4 linked regions of the Drosophila melanogaster genome follow. The gene in region 1 interacts genetically with each later gene. Each region holds a gene or a part of one and is shown in the gene's direction. Other genes may lie near its edges. The genes, in order: sw, Dref, dar1 and dop.

Region 1 (4,844 bases):
GACGGGCTGGGAAACTAGTTTAGGTTGGCGGCGTGTAGTGGCTAATTAACAATACACTTTTACTCTCGCCCGATCCCATGTGGAAACCAGGTGGAGGTGGTTCTTGGAAGCCCGGCCAGACGTCTAAATCTGAAATTCAATTGGCAAATTAATTTGTAAACTAATCGCGCTGGCATCTCGACTTCGGTGCGACAGGTTTGGCCTGGCAATTAGCGCGGGGAAAAAGCGAAGATATTAAGTATCCGCTCATCGGTTTGCCAACTCCCGCCCATGTGCAAGATTTGTCGGCCTGGAGCAAAAAGTTGAGCAGTCGAAGATTTGGCAATTCAAGGTTTTTACTGCAGCATGGGGGATCATCGGAGCGATTCCAGTTCGAGTCCGGTTTATCAATGCGGTTACGAAACGAGCAACTCGGACTACAGTTTTTGGGTCGTCGAATGCTGGCATTTAAATTCAGATGTGCAGATGTGCAGATGCGCCAAATCGAATCGAAATAAAATCCCCAAAAGTTTCATGGGCGCTTTAACCCCATGAAAACCTCTTCCTTGGCACTTTGGATACGGTATCTTTCAGATACTTTCAGATACTTTCGGATACATTCAGATACGACCGAAGGCACGTACTACTGTTGGATTCGCTTTGCGCCCCGCGTTGCAGCAACATCTGGCATTGGTGGCACAAATTATGGCATACATTGTGGAAAGACACATCGCCTAAGTGCGCTTTCTATTTCCACGGCGGGTTCTGGTGATTTCACTGGCCCAAAGACGCGCATTGAATGTAATTGGCACTTTGGAGGGGCAATTAAAACACGACATATCTACATACATATGTACATACGTATGTATGTACATACTTTCAGAACCCTGAACGTATTTTGTAAGCTCAGTAGTTTTGAGTCACTATGGGAATTTCAGCGGTATTGGTAATTTTTTACAAGAATAGTCTTGCTTACCTTTCTTAATTAATTAATTTTTACATTTTGTAGTACTTCACACTCAGCATTTTAATCAAACAAATGCACAGGTTGTGGGCATTAATTTTAGCTGAATTTTAGACCTAAAAGGATTATTTAATTTTGTATGCATATGGGACATCAGTGTATTATCATTAAGGTACTGTGTATCAATTCGAATTTACCTACAGATACCTCTCTTGAATCTATAAATTAAAAGTTACGCTTCAGAAAGCAACACTGATATTTCATAGTGCATGTGTGTGAGTGTGCAAAACTTTTTTATGATAACTGTAAGCCACCTATAACATAACAATTTTAAAATGCGGCATATCTCTGTATTAACATACTTTTTACCTATTATTAATTATGGTAATATAATTATATATTAATCTAATATATTTATAATTAATATTAATAATTAATAATTAATAATTAATAATATATAATATAATATATATATATATATATATATATATATATTCAGTTTGAAGCTCTATTTAAGCATGATTTGTAGATTTCTTCCATAAATAAATATAAATATTAATAAATATAAAGTGTGTTGCAGTGTATGTGAAATGTAACTGTAACTAACAGCGTTCTGCTAAACGCAGTAGTGCTGCCAGATCGCTGCGCTAGTGCATGGAAAGACTGGAACTATCGCTGTCACGACAGCTGTTCACAGCTATCGCCGTACAGTAGTAAAATCTTATTCTTGTGTTTAAACTTGTGTTAATTAAGAATTCGGAATCCCGCTAAGAATCCTAGTCTTCCACACCCTTTGGGCATCTATGTAAACCAGCCGCGCCCATTATCTCCTTCGTGTGCCAATAACTGTGCGAAGTAACTGGCCGTGGGCGATGTTCCATCTCTAGTTAGTCAAAACATTAAAAGTCAGTCGCATTTTTACATTGTTGAAAAATGATGATTTAAGTACTTAAAAAGCAGCCGAACAACGAGTAAAGACAGTCAAGAGGTGGGTTTTTGTGCATTTCATGGAAAAATCACAAGAGCAGTGAGAGAAGGAAGTTGAAAAACGCAGCCAGGGCGAAAAGACGTCACAGTCCAATCGCTGGATTATTGATTTTTTTTTTTTGGCCGAGCAAAGGAAAGTAAAGTGACGGCCACTCACTGGGTTACCGGGAAATGTGCTCCACTTGGCGATAGGAGAACATATGAGTTGGCTGCGCCACGCCAAGCGAGCGGTGGAGAACCACACAGCGCACCCACTTTCTTTGCTTCTGGCCAGCAGTTGGTGACATCATCAAAGCTACCAATATTGGCGACCATTAATCATGCATCCCCCTTGCAGAGAACTTGGCCCGCCAGAGATCTAGAGTCCCGTACCGAACGCCCACTCGAACAGCAAATCGCAGCAGCTAATCGCCCCGAGAAATGGATCGCAAGGCTGAGCTGGAACGCAAGAAGGCCAAGTTGGCCGCCCTGCGCGAGGAGAAGGATCGCCGGCGTCGCGAGAAGGAGATCAAGGACATGGAGGAGGCGGCCGGTCGCATTGGCGGCGGAGCAGGCATCGACAAGGATCAGCGCAAGTGGGTTTGCCATAAGCTTCTCCTCAGAGCTGACTCAGCACCGCCATCATCCAACTTTCGTTCGCCTCTTTCAGGGATCTCGACGAAATGCTGTCATCGCTGGGCGTGGCCCCCGTCTCCGAGGTCCTTTCCTCACTCTCCTCCGTCAACTCGATGACTTCGGACAACTCGAACACACAGACCCCCGACGCCAGCCTCCAAGCCACTGTCAATGGCCAGAGGTAAGCCAGTTCATAGCAAAAGCTTTGTGAGTAGAATTACCATCTTAAGCAGAAGTTCGCAGGGCATATTAGACATATTCAGGTCATATAGGTATAGACATTTGATTCCCTAAGTTTTTTTTGCTAAACAACTGTAGAGACAGATTCCCCATCTACAAGCTTAACATAAAAAAATATCAGTAGTCAAAATTGGAATCCTGGTTAGAGAGCGTGGCAATTTTTACAATTCAATTTTAGCATTAGCCGTTTTAAAAATTAGTATTACACAGATTAGACAATGGGCTTAGTACTGATTAAGTTTTAACGATCAATGTATTGTACTATTGCTATTGCCATTTAACCGATTCCTAACTAATACCAATTTCTTATGTGCACCCCCCACCAGCGGCGGAAAGAAACAGCCCCTCAACCTAAGCGTCTACAATGTGCAGGCTACGAACATTCCACCAAAAGAGACACTGGTCTACACAAAGCAGACCCAGACGACCAGTACCGGAGGCGGAAACGGCGATGGTGCGTATTGCCCCCGGGGCGGGGATCTGGTTGGGCTCTACCGTAACCACTATCCATAGTTTGACTCCATCTCTCGCTACTGTTACCGTTCTTATTCTTGGTCTCGTTGTTAAATGTGTTTGGCTTCCCTGCTGTTTCCCAGACTCCGTCACCGTCCGCCGGAGGAGCAGTGTATCTATCTGTCCCTCTCACTCTCTCTGTCCATGTCTGTGCTCCAAACTCTCCCTTTCTGTCTGGTGCTAGCTTACACCGCTGCATGCTGACCCTGTTTCCGCGCTTTGTTCCCCATCAAGTGCCCCCAACTCCCGTCCCTCCCAGCAGAGAAAAAAAACAAAGATGCAAACAGAAACCATAATCCATAGTGAAATAAAATAACAAATACAGTTCTTTCTTGCCACTCCTCGCCTCTGTCAGGATATATGGAGGACTGGTGGCGTCCACGTAAAGGTACTAATCTTAATTTTAAGCAAACTCCACACCTAATCACACATCAGCACACGAAAGTTATTGTGACAAAACGAAGCGGCATACACATGTGAATACACGAAGAGCTCCATGTGAAGCGCCCACACGACTTAGTCTAAATTTGCTGTAAGGCTCTGCAGGCAGAAGGATGTCAGCATCGTACATGCGTAGACAATTCGGTGGACTATCTACTTAACTGCTTGAATTTAGACAGCTTCCTTTTGCTTTGCCTCGGCCCAATTTGGTTGCAATGCCCAAGAAACGTAGTTTCTGGTCGATTGATCATCTTATGACAGATTTCTCTTGATTTGGTCAATCCGCATTATTGGTTTTTGGTTCCTTCAGTGCTCTCAATTTAGCCCATCTATCCCAGCAATTGTTTTTGTTAGTTTATTTTATAAATGTTCGAAACTGGAAAAGCTCAGACACGATTTCAAAAACCATTCGTCACTATTTTGTATACTATGCAATATTCAGCACACTATCTGAACACTTCAATCCGAACTTTTAAAAATATAGGTTGTAAATGGTACTGCAACGCAATGTGTCATGTTTATCCCCTCTTTAAACACGCCTTTTTATAATTATTACTTTAATTTTTGTCGCGTTTTTGTAAAGGTTATTGGTAGCACTAAGCATTACACCAATTGGCCTTGTTTCGCTTCATTAACGCCGCAGTCTCGACTCATTTCCGCATGGCCACCGCTGTCCAGCATCAATCTTTCCATCCACATCCATCCATGTCCACATCCGAACCCATAGATCATTAGAGTGTAAACCGTTCGAGCGCATTTAATAATTTGTCTATTTACTTTCTCTTTCTTCCCTCTTAACTGTTTTTGGCACGCACGAAAAAAAAACTGCAGCTCATGCTACGGATTATTATGGTGAGTAGTCCTCGTTGTATGCGTAATTCCGTACTTAGAACTTTTCAGCCTCCGTAGCGGTCTGTGTGCCACTCGTAAGAAGCGTATCTATACCCGTAGTCCTATATATTACCATTACCTTGAAACCTCTCTATGCTGAACTTCTCTATATACTCACATTATGTATTTGTGTAGTTTGCTCAATATCTATCCACAACACGATCTATGCTCCTTAGAGTTTTTCTGACTTGCTTAGTGTACGCTTGATATGGTA
Region 2 (5,430 bases), on another chromosome or scaffold:
GTGAAGCCCTTCACTCACTCAGCTTATCAATTTTAAACTCAATATTTTCAGATATAGTGAAACGCGCATATGTACATACATATGTACATAGGCATAAATACCTTAAAAGGTATTGCAAATATATTACTGCAGAGATAAAATACAGTTGTTTAGTTTAATCTTTACCCTACACCATTCTAATGAAAAATTCAATATATTGTAATTAACATTTCAACAAAAGATATTTAAAAAAATAAGAAACGTAGCTTCTGCAACCTTTTCGTTTGCTCAAGATGCGTATCCTAAGAAAATCTTCTATATGGCACCACAGATTTAACTTTTTAATAATTTAACCCAAATAAATTAAGAAGCTGGTAAAAATAAGAAAAAATAAAAAAGTAATGGCAAGCAACATACGTTTCTTTTTTTGGATGCAGCAGCTAAAAACAAACGCGCCAGTTTGAATTCAACGCGCCAAAGCTACTTATCGATAGCAACACGGGTTATCGATAAGTCTTACGCCAGACGCGACAATAACAACAATGTGCACAAATATTCACGTTTAAGAAAAACTAAGATTTTATTCTGGTTGATGTTGTAGACAGAACGATCAGGTTAAGATGTGGTTTACTTCTTGGCCTTCTTGGGGTCTCCCTTGGCGGCGTCCTCGCTCTCAGCGGCCTCCTTGGCGCGCTTGGCGCGGATTCCGACCAAACGGGCATCAGTGCGAGCCTGCAAATATAGTTTGGCGGCGAATAAGTATAACGAGCTACCGGCGGATCACGAAACCAAAAAACTTACCTTGCGCAGCGTGGCGAAGGCCTTGAACTTCTTCTCATCCTTGGTCACCTCACGGAACTCGACCACGGCGGGCTGCTCATTTTTGATGGGCAGGACGGGTCCCTTAAGCTGGGTAGCCAGCTTGCACTCCTCCAGAGAGGACTCGCCGGCGCGGATCTTCTTCTCGTTGATGGGGAACAGGATCAACTTGCTGCGGTACTCCTTGAGGCGCTGGATGTTACGCTGGCGGGACTCCAGGGATTTGTTCTTGCGCCTCCTGTCGACGGCAATGCCGATGGTCTTGGCGAAGTTGGCGCCAATGCCGGCACCCTGTAAACAGAGATTTTGTTAGTGGCCAATGGATTCCGATAATGTTTTCGGCTTCACTTACCTTCAGCTCCTCCAGGGTGAAACCACGGCCGGCACGCAGCTTGGTGTGGTAGCGGATGGTGGGGCAGCGAACCACAGGGCGCAGGGCACCGCTGGCTGGGCGGGGGAAGACGGCCTTAGCCTTCTTGACGCGGTTCGCATGCCTGCGGACCTTGCGGGCCGGCTGGTTGAACCAGGTCTTCACATGCCGCTGCCACCACTTGTGGTAGTGCTGATTCGGAATCATATTGTTACCCTTACCCATCTTGGCGGTTTAGATTGGCTGCAACGAGGGCAAAAACACAATAATAACATCAATGTCTCTTTGTAAACTCGTATATATGGGATAACCAAGCTGCAGGCCCACGTGGCTGGCGAATTTCGATTTGTTTAAGCCGTAATTCCGAGCACTTCTTCATGCCTACGGGTGTCAATGATGCCCACTTGTGTCCTCCACACTTGGCACACTCGATGGCTCGATTTGCATTTCGTTTATCTTTTATTTTCATTGAATTTCGTGACGCTCACGAAATTTACACACCTTTTCTTCCCAACAACGAATTAAAAAGGAAATCGCAACCAACTTCACGTCGTAGGCCAAGCGAAAATTTCCCTAGAGAAATTCCCCCGGCCGAGCGAGAAATTTCCCCAGCTATCGATTGGTGATGCAATCAGTGTTAGCGAGAATACTCAACAAATCGCATTTTTTACGACAGTCAGACGTATTGAAATTAAAAAGCGGTGACTCTCATATTTGAGCAGTCTGTAAAAATAATCTCAAATAAATGAGAGTGCATTTGAAGCATTTAGCAACGTTTTATTGCCTTATCGATTGACGGCGTGTCGCGTGGCAACTCTGAACTGTACTTCTGATACAGATAAAAAACTATTGACTATTGAACCGTCTATCTATAATCGAGAAATTGCGCGCTAATACACGCATTGGGCACAGCAATCGTTGTCGAATCTAATTCAAAACAAACAAGAAGATCCCAATCCCCCACAGAAGACAAGATGAGCGAAGGGGTACCAGCGTCGCCCGTGGCCATTGGCGAACTCAAGTACGAGGATGTGTCGCAGCTAAATTTTTCCAAACTGTACTCGCCCAAGATGAAAAGCGTATACTGGCGCTACTTTGGATTCCCCTCGAACGACAATAATGAGGTGATTACCAAACAGAATGTGGTCTGCATTAAGTGTCACAAGGTGCTGACCAACCATGGCAACACCACCAATTTGCGTGCGCATCTCCAGCACCGACACAAGGATCTGTTCAAGGAGCTGTGCCAGGAGCACGACATCCATGTGCCGCCGCGCAAGACGCCGCGTAATGTATCCCATCCACCGCTGTCCAAGCGGAATGTTTCCTCGCGGCGGGTCAAACTGGAGTTCATTAATAACCGGAACCACGATAACGCTTCCGATGATGAACTGGACGAAGCAGCCGTGGCAACTGCGGCCATGCAGGCGGAGGAGGACGCCTCCTCGCAAACCATGCTGTACGAGACCATGGTGCCCTTCACCTACGACGAGGCCGAAAATCTGGTAGAGGAGGAGGAGCGCCTAGTTATGGAACCAAAGTACGGACGCAAACGCAAAGTGGCCACTCCATCGAGTGCCCTGATGCACGGGCGTGTCATCAAGCACGAGGAAGGCGGCTATGCCGCCGTGGCGAACATCGCCAATCTGGCCGAAGCCCTTACGGACATTGTGATTAAGGATTTGCGCAATGTGGATTCTCTGTACGATGCCGGTTTTGGTGAATTCCTGCGTCAAGTCCTAGGCAATTCGGCAGCCATGCCCGAGCCACACAAGATCGACTCTTTGATCAATGAGATGCACGCCTCCAAGTTTCTGGAGATTGGCGAAATCACGCGCGATTTCACCTCCGAGAAGCCCTTCTCTCTCGCCTTTGAGATGTGGGTGAATGTTGAACAGCGGCGCTTCCTTAGCATCTTCCATCACTTTCTGGACGAGGAGACGCACTCAGTTCGCGGTATGCTGTATGCCACCGTGGAGTACAACGACTACATCGTCTTTGACGATCTGCTGACCGACTTCTATTTGGCCAATTGCACACTGGCCATCATAAACTACGACGAGGAAGAGGACCTTTTGCACACCTATCTGCGAGAGAAAAGTGAGTGCATTAGCAAGTCAGAATTATTTACCTTATATAGAATATATATCAAATATTGGACTTCCTAATGAATATGAATCTTTTATTGCAGATATACCCATTTCGCTGTGCTACGTTTCGGTAATTGACAAATGTTTGCGTCGTGTGTTTGAGATCGAAGAGGTGGCCACTTTATTGGAGCAGGTGAAGGACCTAATGCAGCGTCATTCAACGGAGATTGCCTCCAAGGTGTCCGAGGTGCCCATGCCCACGTACAACGAGCACTTCCCCTGGACACTGTACGAAACATTGAAGTTCTTTGCCGAGTCCATATCTTGGTCCGAGGACATGGATCACCTGGTTATATCAGCCAAGACGGTGACGGAGGCCCTGAGTGCTCTGGTGGTAAGCCATCAAGCTAAATGAGACGTTTAAGCAGTTTTCTTATTGTGTGAAATCTTTTAGATTGCTTTGGACACGCTGCGTGGCGAAGACATTCCCTTGTGTAGCATGCTTTCGCCAATCACTTCAAAGATTCTTATCAAGAAGTTGGGCATCGCCGAGCAGGACGATCCCCTAATGATGAATTTGAAGCGGACCATTTCCAGTGTCCTCCAGGCGCACGTTATATCCAATGACAATCTGACCGCTGCTGCATTGTTGGACCCACGCTTCCACCGCCTGACCACCATTGACAACCTAGAGCGAACCGTTCGTATGCTGACCCATAAGTATAACATTAACTTTGGTGGAGTGGGCGAAGGGGAATCCAACGAAGTGGCAGCTACCTCCAGCGTGGTGGCCATTAAGTCAGAACCAAGAGTAGTGGACGGCAGTGCACCAAAGAAGTTGGGTAAGTGCATCGAACTAAATCGATTATCATAAACCATGGACTAAACGAAAATGCCCGTAGGTCTGAAACTGCTGTTTGACAGTAACGAGATACCAAATCCTCCGAAGCGAGATGCGGACAGCAGCGTGGAGTCCGATCTTAAGCGATATCGCAACGAGGTGGTCGTTCAGCTGGATGAGTCGCCCATCGAGTGGTGGCTCAAGATGGGACACATTTATGGAACGCTCCGCGATTTGGCCAGCCTGTACCATAGTGTGCCCGGCGTGGTGACGCTCAGCTTCAAGAAGGCGCTGAGAGACCAAATATACGACTTCAACAAGCGATTCATGCTCACCGGTAGTCACATCGACGCCATCCTCTTTCTTCATCATCACAACAATTAGTCTGCACTGGCGACTACTGTTTCTTATAATGCAAATACTTTTTAATTACTTTTAACGTAATCCGATCTTGTGTATATGAAAATGACTACCAGGGGCGAGGCAAATAGTAATAGCGATTCCGCAGTACTTTTAACCAAAAGACAGCCTTGGGACGTACACGGAACATCTTAAGTTATCGACGTATAAATGTTAAGGGAACATTTTGACATCATATATTCAAATCAAACAGATAATCTAAGAATATTTGTTTAATAAATCCATAACGAAAAAATATCACGCTTATCAAGCTCACTTGTAAATCCCCTTATATCCATTTCAAGAGAACTAATTAAATACTTAACTTAGTTGTACATAATTGATATTTTAATCTTATAAATAAATAAAATGCATCTAACTTTCGTGAATTGTTTTATTGAACTAACTAAAATTAGATATTTTACAATTAATTCAGTATTAAAAAAATTTCTGAACTACGAAACAATTAGTAGTCGGTTTGGAGTTAGCTACTTTATATATTTGACATATTTCTTTAATTTTCAAAATATGTTTTATTTTTTTACTCTGCAGCCCTCGAAATTTCCCTTTTTTAAATCATCGGAAAATTTTCATATTTTTCGTCTGCGACAAACAAAATCTAAATAATCTTCGACATTTGTTTTTTAATTAAGTTAATTTTTTTACTGATAGCTTTTAAACTTTAAAATAAAACAAATAGTAAAAATTTTAAATAATATAAAACCGGGAGGAAGTCTGTATTTTAGTCATTTCGGATTTCGCATTGGCTGGTCACACCAATTAGACGTAGGCACCCGACCCACGAACTGGATTCCTCACAAAAGAAGGGCACGAAAGCCGCGATATTACTGCCAATAGGACTGAAACCAATAGATCGAAGAACTTGCTCTGCCAGCAGGAGATCTCTGAAAATGCGCCTCCAGCGTGGGTGC
Region 3 (4,623 bases), on another chromosome or scaffold:
CGTCTGCGGTGGCATTAATGGCAAATTTGCACGAAGTCAATAGCGAAAGCCGGGGAATACTACAGTCAATTATCGGTGGCGTCGAATATGGACGAATGTATCTGCGAGTGTAGATACTTTCGTATCTGACCATGTATGTTGATGTTTTTGTTTTTCCACCTGCGTGTAGCGTTGTTGTTGTTTTTTCCACTTACTGCCACCGTGTACGCAAAAGTGTCTCGCTCTCTCTTTCTAACCGCATGCCCCGTCCCGCTCACTCGTTGTATCTTGTATCTCGTGTTTCTCGCTCTTTTTGTCGACCGCCGATTGGCTGACTTTTGAGTCTGCGCCGCTATCCGGAGAGGCCACACCTCTAAAAACCCCCTTAGAAAACCACGTTTGCGTGTTATTTCAGATACTTTTGGCCCCCCTGCACCAACCATTTTACCCCCCCGCGCGCGGAAAACATAAACTTGTGGCTCCCTAATGGCCAAAAATAAGGAAACCAGGGGGATGAGTCGAAATGAAAATGGCTTTTATGTGTGGCGTGCGTTGGGGTAATTTTATGATTCAGGGAATTACACAGGGAAATGACAGTCCTCGTTCTTCTTTTGCTTTCCACCTGGAATATGTAGATACAGATACCTTTTAATTGTCGCTCTATTGATTTCCCCCAAAGAAAGCACATAAGCTGACTTAATTTATGCTTTAATTCTATTTAATTATGTTTTTTTTTTACCATCTAAAACTGCATGAGGTCTATGAAAGATTCGCGTGTTAGCTGGACAGTTTTTATTTTGTTTAGGCTCTATCTAAAATGTGTCAAACTTAATGAACGGTGTAGTAAAGCGGTTTTAATGGGGGAGGTTCTGTTCGGGGATTATGCTTTGTATGTTTTTGATTTATTACTCCTTAAAGGCTACCAATTTTATACCTTAAGTTATAAAACTTATAAAAAAAGAACGAGGTCCTTAAAAAACACTCTGTCGTATAAAAGTTCTTTACGGAAATCAATTAAATCAAATCGAAGCCATATATGTAGATTTTATTTATATAAACATTTAATTGTAAAGTTTTGTAAATTTAAATGATATTCTAATTGATCGGATTATAATAAAATTATTACTCTAAAATTAATAATTTTTATTTATTTGTTACTGAATACTCCATAAGGGACTTATAAACTTTAATTTCTAACCTCCTTGCCCTATTTCGAGATCTTTTCTGAAGCGTGGTTACTTACTTTTTCACCCATTACCACCTCTACCGCAGGTCAAATCTAAAATGGCGAATCCCAGGCGGTTCATTCAATTAAAATCGATCGCAGCTCTTATACTCCAGTGTCTCCAATAAGATCAGCTGGCTGGAACACACCTGAGAGTCGGATATAAGAGCGACAGATCACCTGGGCCGAAAGTGGCGGAGAGCGGACCAGGTGAGCGGAACACCTGGTGAGCAGAGTATCCGACAGATACAGATACGAAAGGTGAGCGAGAGCGGCACAGAGCGGGCAGTGGAGGGTTAAGCGGCGGGGGTTAAGCGGCAGCTAGCTGACTGGCTTTCTGACTTTCGAGGCTCGTCTGCGCGAAACCCGCGCTCGTCCAATCAGTACGAACTCGGTTCCCGCCAGCGCAGTAACAACTTCGCCGACGAGCGCGTGAATCGCCTAAATATCCACTCAAGCAACACAGAAAATAAGTTATAAATTGAAACCCGCAAGTGCCTTACCATTATCTGTAGAATATTGCAACGAATTTACTGCCCATATATACAGCATATCGAGAGGAACAAGAGATACAGATACAAATAAGATACAAGCCGAAGCTCATCATCGAATGCGGAAGTGAGCGAAAGCCGCCGGCTTTTATTAATTTTGTGCAATTAACGCAAAGGATACAAAAAATCAGTGTGCAAACAAAGGGAAACAAAAGAGTGAGAGAAAGTGATCGAGTGCCTTCATTTGCATATCCTTGCAAATTAAATTAATTTAACAACAAATAACAAAAAGCAATTGAATAATAAGAAAACGTGCCGCAATGTCTGTTGCTCGCAGTGCCATGTCAAGCTGAAGTATTCAATAATAATCCCGAAATTCGATTCCGAATACGATTTTGAATTCGCATCCGAAATTGATTAATCACTGTGCCTTGAACTGATCGTGACTCGTGAGTCAGAGCAGCGCCATTTAATTGTCCGCAAACACAAAAGTACGGAGCCCAGTTGCAAATTGTCGGGTTAAATATTGGTAGAATATCGGTAGAATCGGTGGCATCCCCTCCCCCGCCAGGCATTCCACCTGGCCAACAGTCGAGTGAAGGAGCTTCATGCGAAAAACGCCGCTTAAATGCATACGGATATCATAATTGGTGATCAGTTTGCCGCCAACAATAACTACTGGGTGATGCAGGTGAGTTCGGTTACTAGAATATTTAATTAAAGGCTACTTAAGACATTCTGGAAATTCCAGCGAAAAGATCTAGAAAACTTGATCTTTTGTAATAAATAAAATCCAAATAGCAGATAGATATTTTCTATCAAATAAAAGGCAGTGTCGAAATTTCAAATATCAATCACTTAAATAAAATTCCCTAGCTTGATCAACATTCAAATGGAAATATATCCAACTATTATAGAAAGAATATGTGTGTCTTTAAACAAGGATGAACACATCACAAAGCGTTTAAATATCGTAATCATTAGCCAATTAATTTGCAATCACAGGTTCCTTGTCAAACCCAATTCAAATGAAACAAAAAAAACTTTACGTACCAAAGTGCGCTAATTAAGCCGCTTTTATTGCAAATTAATTTTAGCCAAATTTGACAACAATAAGCGAGCACACAACAAATACGAGAGCTTACAAATCACATGAAAAACACCTTAAGCCCAACAACTTCCGCTTATCAAAATGCAAATCTTGAACAGACCAGATTTTTGACGATTTTTGTACGAATTCGAGTACGAGTATAAATAAAACGCACGCGGCAATCACAAATTACAATAAAACCGAAAACAAATTAGCTCAATTATCGATTGAGATGAGGAGTTGGACTGCGTAATTTTTGAGTGTTCTCGAGTGTGTTTCGACAGAGATTAACACCTTGGATTTCCTCAGGTGTTCCTTCGGTTCCTTCGCCGTTTTTTCCCCATTTTTGTTTTTTTTTGTTTGTCAAATGCGACAATCGATTTGTAAATCTTGTTATCACCTGCAGGAACTCTCGGCTCTTAAAGCCGTTCTCAAATACACGGTCGGTTAACTCTTTTGAACTCATCCACACTTTTCACGCGTTCCGCAGGGAAACTGTGGCGATCACAGTCCATCCGATGCGATCCGATCCGCACTCCTCCTTTCGATATCCATGTTTGCAGCCTGTTTTTCTGTTTTCCCGGCTTGTTTGCCTCAATTGTTTGACTCGCGCTTACTTGCGAAGCTCTGGGTAAATATTTGCCCCCAACACTTTGCCAATGTGCCAAGTGTCCCCAACTGACTGACGAGATGGTTTCAACACGGTTCCTACCCGGGAATATATACATATAGCTATAGCCTGATCATCGACTGGGTGGCATTGATCGATGGTATTGGATAGTATGAGAACATAATTACAAACGGCAAGGGTACATACGTATGAGTAATATGTCTTTCCGAGGAACTGTTTATCCTGTTTATTGCTGAATGTCAATAAATACTTTAGAGTGAAACTGATCGCACAGATTGTGGTTATTAAAGTTATCGAGTATAGGTTAAGTTTTTAGGCCATACTCATTTACCATGAATTAATTTTTCAAAGTATACGTACTTTTTTATTACCAATAATCTTGAGCCTTGATTATCTTTCTTATAAATTTTATGATGTGTAGGCTATCTTCCTAAATTTTCCTATCATTCCCTGTCTTATTGCCTTATCTCAACATTTTACAACCGTTGGTCTACCAGCCTTACGCCCATTGATAAGTTCAGTTTCCCGCAGAAAGTCTAGCCTTGCTCAACAAAAGCTCTGTGTTAAGTGCCTCCAGCTGCCCTCCTCAGAACACTTCCTTCCCCCAGAGATAAGGATCGAACTCCGGGAACCTCAGCGAAACAGATATACATACATAGGTACAGACGAAGAAACCCGAGACATTGGCGATTCCGGGTAAAAAGGCATCGTAAAAGAGCTGGGTGTTCGACAAGTGTGTTGTGCTTGTTCCGCCTGTCACCATCAATAGCTGCACTAATTAGGCATGTGTTGTCAAATATTTACACACAGTCGCAAAAGTACAAAGCGCTGTTGGCCCCCTTTGGCCCCCTGGAAGCCCCATCCACTTCCTCCAGATAGTGTAAGCTTTTGGGTGAGGGGGTGGACTTCTTCCGTTTTCCACTGATTTAACAGATATGATGAGATATGGTAAGGTAATTCCCACGACTCACGGCGATTATGACGAAAAACTTTCGTATTTTATGGCTCTAAACGAAATTAGTTTACGATCGCTTACAGGGAATTAGCTGCACTGAGTATAGAAGTATCCAAGTATCCGAGTATCTGCGTATCGAATACATTCAGTGAATAATGGAAGTAATCCAGCACGTAGCCAGGCGGTTATAGCGCCGACTTTTGCGGCTCTGATTAATGACCCTGAACCATTGTGCTTCAATCGTAAATAATT
Region 4 (4,638 bases), on another chromosome or scaffold:
CTTCCAGAATCCGGAGTACTATTACCGGGAGTTGGATCGCAAGCGCATCGAGCAGCTATTCATGCGCTATCGGGATCCCAGTGATCCCCTAAAGATCGGATCCCAGGGCGTAATCCACTTCCTGGAGGACTTGGACCTGAAGCCAGACTCAAAACTGGTGCTGATCATAGCGTGGAAATTCCACGCCGAGGTGCAGTGCGAGTTCTCGCGTGATGAGTTTATCAATGGCATGTGCGACCTGGGCATCGATAGCATCGACAAGCTAAAGACCAAGCTGCCCATCCTTGAGCAGGAGCTGAACGACGCCGGCAAGTTCAAGGACTTTTACCACTTTACCTTCAACTACGCCAAGGATCCGGGGCAAAAGGGCATTGACCTGGAAATGGCAATCGCCTACTGGTGCATCGTTCTTAGTGGGCGCTTCAAGTTCTTGGACATCTGGTGCCAGTTCCTCGAGGAGAAACACAAGCGGGCCATCTCGCGAGATACGTGGAACCTGCTGCTCGACTTTGCCACCAACATCGACGACCGGATGAGCAACTACGATTCGGAGGGCGCCTGGCCGGTTCTAATAGACGACTTTGTGGAGTGGTGCCAGGAGAACGATCATCTCAAGGAGGACTCCTCGCCGGCATCCGGCTACCAGCAGCAGTCCAGTGCTAGCTCCAGCTCCCAAAAGAACATATCCAGCGCCTACCAGACCTCGCACAGTACAAACATGAACTATGGCTAACGAATTGTTACACTGTATTGTATTCTCATTAATGATAGATTTGCTTTTATTCTGATTATTCTAAATAACGGAGAATCTAAGCACGGCCGGTAAATTTACATTTTCTCTATAAAAGCGTCATAATAAATAAATAAAGTTAGTAAATGTAAGTCCCCGGCGTCCTATTCATTGAAATTGATAGTGGTAGACAACATCTAGTTCATCCGTTAGAAATAAATAGAAATTGTGGAATATAAGCGTAACATTTTCAAGCTTAAATTTAGAAATCTAAATGAATTTTTATTTCGTTGCTTATGACTAGACATAAATCACATCCCTCTGGTATTATTTTAGTACCTAATATTTTGTAATTTTTACGTTCTTCTATCATTGATAAATACAAATTGAAATAATTTTCCCTTTTGAAATAAAACTCGAATGCTATTATTTTGATGAAATTTTTGGTTTTTTTTTTTTTTTTGAAGTAAAGTGTATTCGATCACCTGTTTTCTAACAATAAGTAAATTTCTTGATGATTAAAAATGTTTACTTTGCAATGTTACATAACTGTACCTACACATACTTTAAAAAATAAATAATTATTTTCATTTTCCAAACATTTAGTGTGAAAATATTTGAAAAAAGTTCAACAAGGTGGAATAGCTTTTCTTCGGTCACACTGAAGAGTACTGTTTAAAATCGATAATTTGCTTATATATTCTGGATCAAAAACAGCTGGTAACTGAAGACGCAACCTTCAATTCTTAAAGCTGAAACGGGTTTTTTTATTTGCTTTTACATAATGTTGTTATTTATATTTTCAAACGCCCCGCCAATAGCAAATTAATCTTAAGATTGGAGTGCCACCACTGCCGTGATTCGATAACTTGAGCAGCATCAGGGGTCATCGCTAGTAATGTGACCGTTCGGCTGATTGATATTGTTACAACGATTTTTTCGGTGTTAAAATATTTAGTAATACCCCTTAAATCGCGATCGAGGCACGCGAGTGTGTGTGTCTGCTTTAGCGTAAATGCTGCGTATGAAATGTAAAGTTCCAAATCGAGTGTTAAGCGATGTAACAGTGAGAAACTGACAATTTATTGTACCAAAAACCCCGTAATCGCAACGTCTGTGGGTGTTCGTGTGCTGTGTGTGTGTGGGGCTCCTTCGCCGCCCCCACACATACACATACACATACACAGCTATACCATTACCCATACCAATGCAAAGCCCCCACTTGCTGTTGTTGTGGCTGCAGTTGTTGTTGTTGTTTTTCCTATTGGCCATAATTAATTTGGTCTCGAAAATCCTTTGCCCTTGGTTATTTATTATTTATTTTTTGTGACTGCTGTTCTGGGCGCTCCACACAATATAATCAAATCCGTGCAAACAGCGGTGGTCGCATTTGCGAATCCAATTATCATGTGAATAACTCGCGCGTCTCGCCTCGAGTGGGCGAAATTTAAACAAATATACACCCCGTTGGCCGTGTGTGTGCGCACCTAGTGTACAATCCGCACAGTGTGTGAATAAATGCCACTAAACAAACACACAAAAATAAACGAAACGAAACGAAAACAAACTGATAACCGCAGAAGTCGTCGGACTACGACAACGTCTACATGGAGACCTCGGAGCACCATTTACGATCGTGCCATATAGTGTCGTATAGCTTATATCGCTCACACAGCTGTTAGCCCCTTGCCGTCTCGAGATCCGATCCCAACCCAACCCATCGTATCCCATCCATTCCGCTCTGCTCTGCTCTGCTCCGCTCCTCACCTGCAGATAATCGTATAATTTAGTGGCCTTTTATTCCGAACAGCGAGGAGGATAAACAATGGAACTGAAACTGGGTTTCTTGGTTTGCATTTCGAGTGTATAAACTCAACCGAAACGTGTAACGAGCCGTTCAATTCAAGAAAGAAATGCAGCCTGCAGTAACTTTTTATCAGTATCAAATTTAACTGAATTGTTAAATAACTATATGGCGATTTCGGAATGATCATTACTGCACTTACTTGCTTTTAGATTTCGAAAAAAATAGATGAGGTTTTCAATGTTAAAGTGATATTATTTCGTTGCCACTATATTTGTTAAATGCATTTCACAATGTTGTACTTAATGATGTTTCAAGATTGAAAGTCTTAGAATGTGGAAATTTCACACAAAGATTTAAAAGAAATAATTTCACATCACATAGTATTGAAAAAATTTGAATGTCTTTTGGAATTTTTAAATTTTGAACACTTATGTATGTATTAGTATGAACTTGAGAAACTATTATTGAATCCATGTATATTTGTAAACATATAAAAGCATATGGATGTGTGTTTATAAATTTCCTAGCGGTCAAATTCGCTATACAAATATTTGGAAAAGTTTCATCTAAATTAGAAACTGTGTTGATACTTAGCTTTCTGAAATTTCTCAATTCCAATTGTGTTTTGTAGTCATTTCAATAGAATGTACGAACAGCCAAACAATTTAGAGCTTGATATTGGTCGATAATTTAAGAATTTCTATTAGTAAAGTGGTACGATCAAGCGGCTTCTATCTACAATTATTAGTTTTTATGCAGAATATGAGCATTGGTAGAATCATTGTATTTTGTGAGGTTGTTGACTCAAAACAATGGCTTCTTAGTCAACTAAAATAGATCTCTGAGTCAGCGGTACTTGATTTTCGGTTGGAAGAGATTTCCGTGTCACCCTTGTCACTGCACAGCATTGTGATTCAACCATTCAGCAGGCACTTGCTCATTGTGGAATTTCTGGACTATCACCCAAAACCAAGTGGGCGATCGCTTCCCGTATATTCCCGAATGTGTGTAGTATGTACTACATATTAGTATATTTCGATCCAAGTTTTGACCGATTTATACATATATAATTATTAGCTGTTAGGCTCGTGCAAAGTGACAGCCCAACGAGATTAATTAGCCAGGGGTTTGTGTGTGGAAGCAATTGCCAGCGTCTGGATGTCGGAGATGGTATGGTGTGGGATGGGATAGGAAGTGAGCTGTTAACTGAGAACTGAGAACTTAGAGCTGGGAAGCGCCTTGCCAGCCGTATGCTAATTAATTGCTTTTATTGCAGCCGCCGACGCCATGCCCAAAAGTCGAAGCAACAAAGCCCCGGAGACAAATAACAACATGCGATCCTGCTAAGATCAGAGCGAACGCGAAGCCAGCACGATCATGAGTCGCCAGGAGGGAGCTGCATCCCGTCCAGCCGATGGAGCCACCGGCCCAGTTGCATCGTCATCATCATCGACATCGTCCAACCACTCAGTGAGTGCTGTCCTTGGCAGCAAGATATCCACCTCAACGCCGCAAAAAAACGATGAGCACCAGGAGCAGGAGTTTATCAATCAGAGCGTGGCAAGCGAGATCGAGGCCATGTCCATCTCGGACTCGGCATCCGCGGAGAGTAGCAGTGGCGCCACGGCCACAGCCACAGCCACCATGAGCGGCAGTCCGGTGCCCAAGCGGCACTTGAGCACGGCCAATCTGTCGCGGATACGCCCGCAATCGAGCTACTCGGCACGCGTACTCATCTTCGACGACTCCGACCAGGAGGCGGCTGCCGCTGCAGCAGCACTTGCGGCAGCATCGTCGTCCTGCAACAGCAGCGTCAAGTCGTGCAGCGGATTGGAGCTGCTGCCCACCTCACCGGCCAAGTTATCCATCGGCAACGACAGCACCAACGGCTCCTCGATGATGCGCAACCTGAACCTGACCAAGAGCTCCTCCGGCGGTCTGAGCGGAAGCTCCAGTTCTTTGCACTCTAGGGGATACACCGCCCTGCTCCGGAAGATCTCCTATCAGCAGCACACCAACTCGCTGCGCGCTGTCAGCGGCGGTAAGAGATTATGCCATCCACATAAAAAAACCTCATGTTGTTTATGAAATGACTTAACGT

Evidence for each region.
Region 2: of sw (region 1) and Dref, changing one suppresses a phenotype caused by changing the other (phenotypic suppression), as found in Drosophila melanogaster (one study listed by BioGRID).
Region 3: of sw (region 1) and dar1, changing one suppresses a phenotype caused by changing the other (phenotypic suppression), as found in Drosophila melanogaster (one study listed by BioGRID).
Region 4: of sw (region 1) and dop, changing one enhances a phenotype caused by changing the other (phenotypic enhancement), as found in Drosophila melanogaster (one study listed by BioGRID).

Annotation. Positions count from the first base shown.
Region 1 is NC_004354.4:20,233,170-20,238,013, reverse strand, and holds the start of sw (short wing), read left to right. Parts: upstream 1-1,815; 5' UTR 1,816-1,931; intron 1,932-2,063; exon of another isoform or gene 2,064-2,210; intron 2,211-2,267; 5' UTR 2,268-2,350; coding exon 2,351-2,505; intron 2,506-2,579; coding exon 2,580-2,726; intron 2,727-3,111; coding exon 3,112-3,239; intron 3,240-3,623; coding exon 3,624-3,686; intron 3,687-4,570; coding exon 4,571-4,591; intron 4,592-4,844. UniProt on the Drosophila melanogaster protein: Acts as one of several non-catalytic accessory components of the cytoplasmic dynein 1 complex that are thought to be involved in linking dynein to cargos and to adapter proteins that regulate dynein function.
Region 2 is NT_033779.5:9,963,598-9,969,027, reverse strand, and holds Dref (DNA replication-related element factor), read left to right. Parts: upstream 1-1,798; 5' UTR 1,799-2,142; coding exon 2,143-3,268; intron 3,269-3,359; coding exon 3,360-3,652; intron 3,653-3,712; coding exon 3,713-4,100; intron 4,101-4,160; coding exon 4,161-4,483; 3' UTR 4,484-4,881; downstream 4,882-5,430. Other genes in the region: RpL13 (ribosomal protein L13), read right to left, coding at 607-711, 781-1,089, 1,151-1,393.
Region 3 is NT_037436.4:3,624,759-3,629,381, forward strand, and holds the start of dar1 (dendritic arbor reduction 1), read left to right. Parts: upstream 1-1,593; 5' UTR 1,594-2,323; coding exon 2,324-2,386; intron 2,387-4,623. UniProt on the Drosophila melanogaster protein: Transcriptional regulator which promotes dendrite growth by suppressing, either directly or indirectly, the expression of the microtubule-severing protein spas.
Region 4 is NT_037436.4:15,564,393-15,569,030, forward strand, and holds the start of dop (drop out), read left to right. Parts: upstream 1-1,620; 5' UTR 1,621-1,761; exon of another isoform or gene 1,762-2,407; intron 2,408-3,813; 5' UTR 3,814-3,914; coding exon 3,915-4,578; intron 4,579-4,638. Other genes in the region: SCCRO (squamous cell carcinoma-related oncogene), read left to right, coding at 1-733.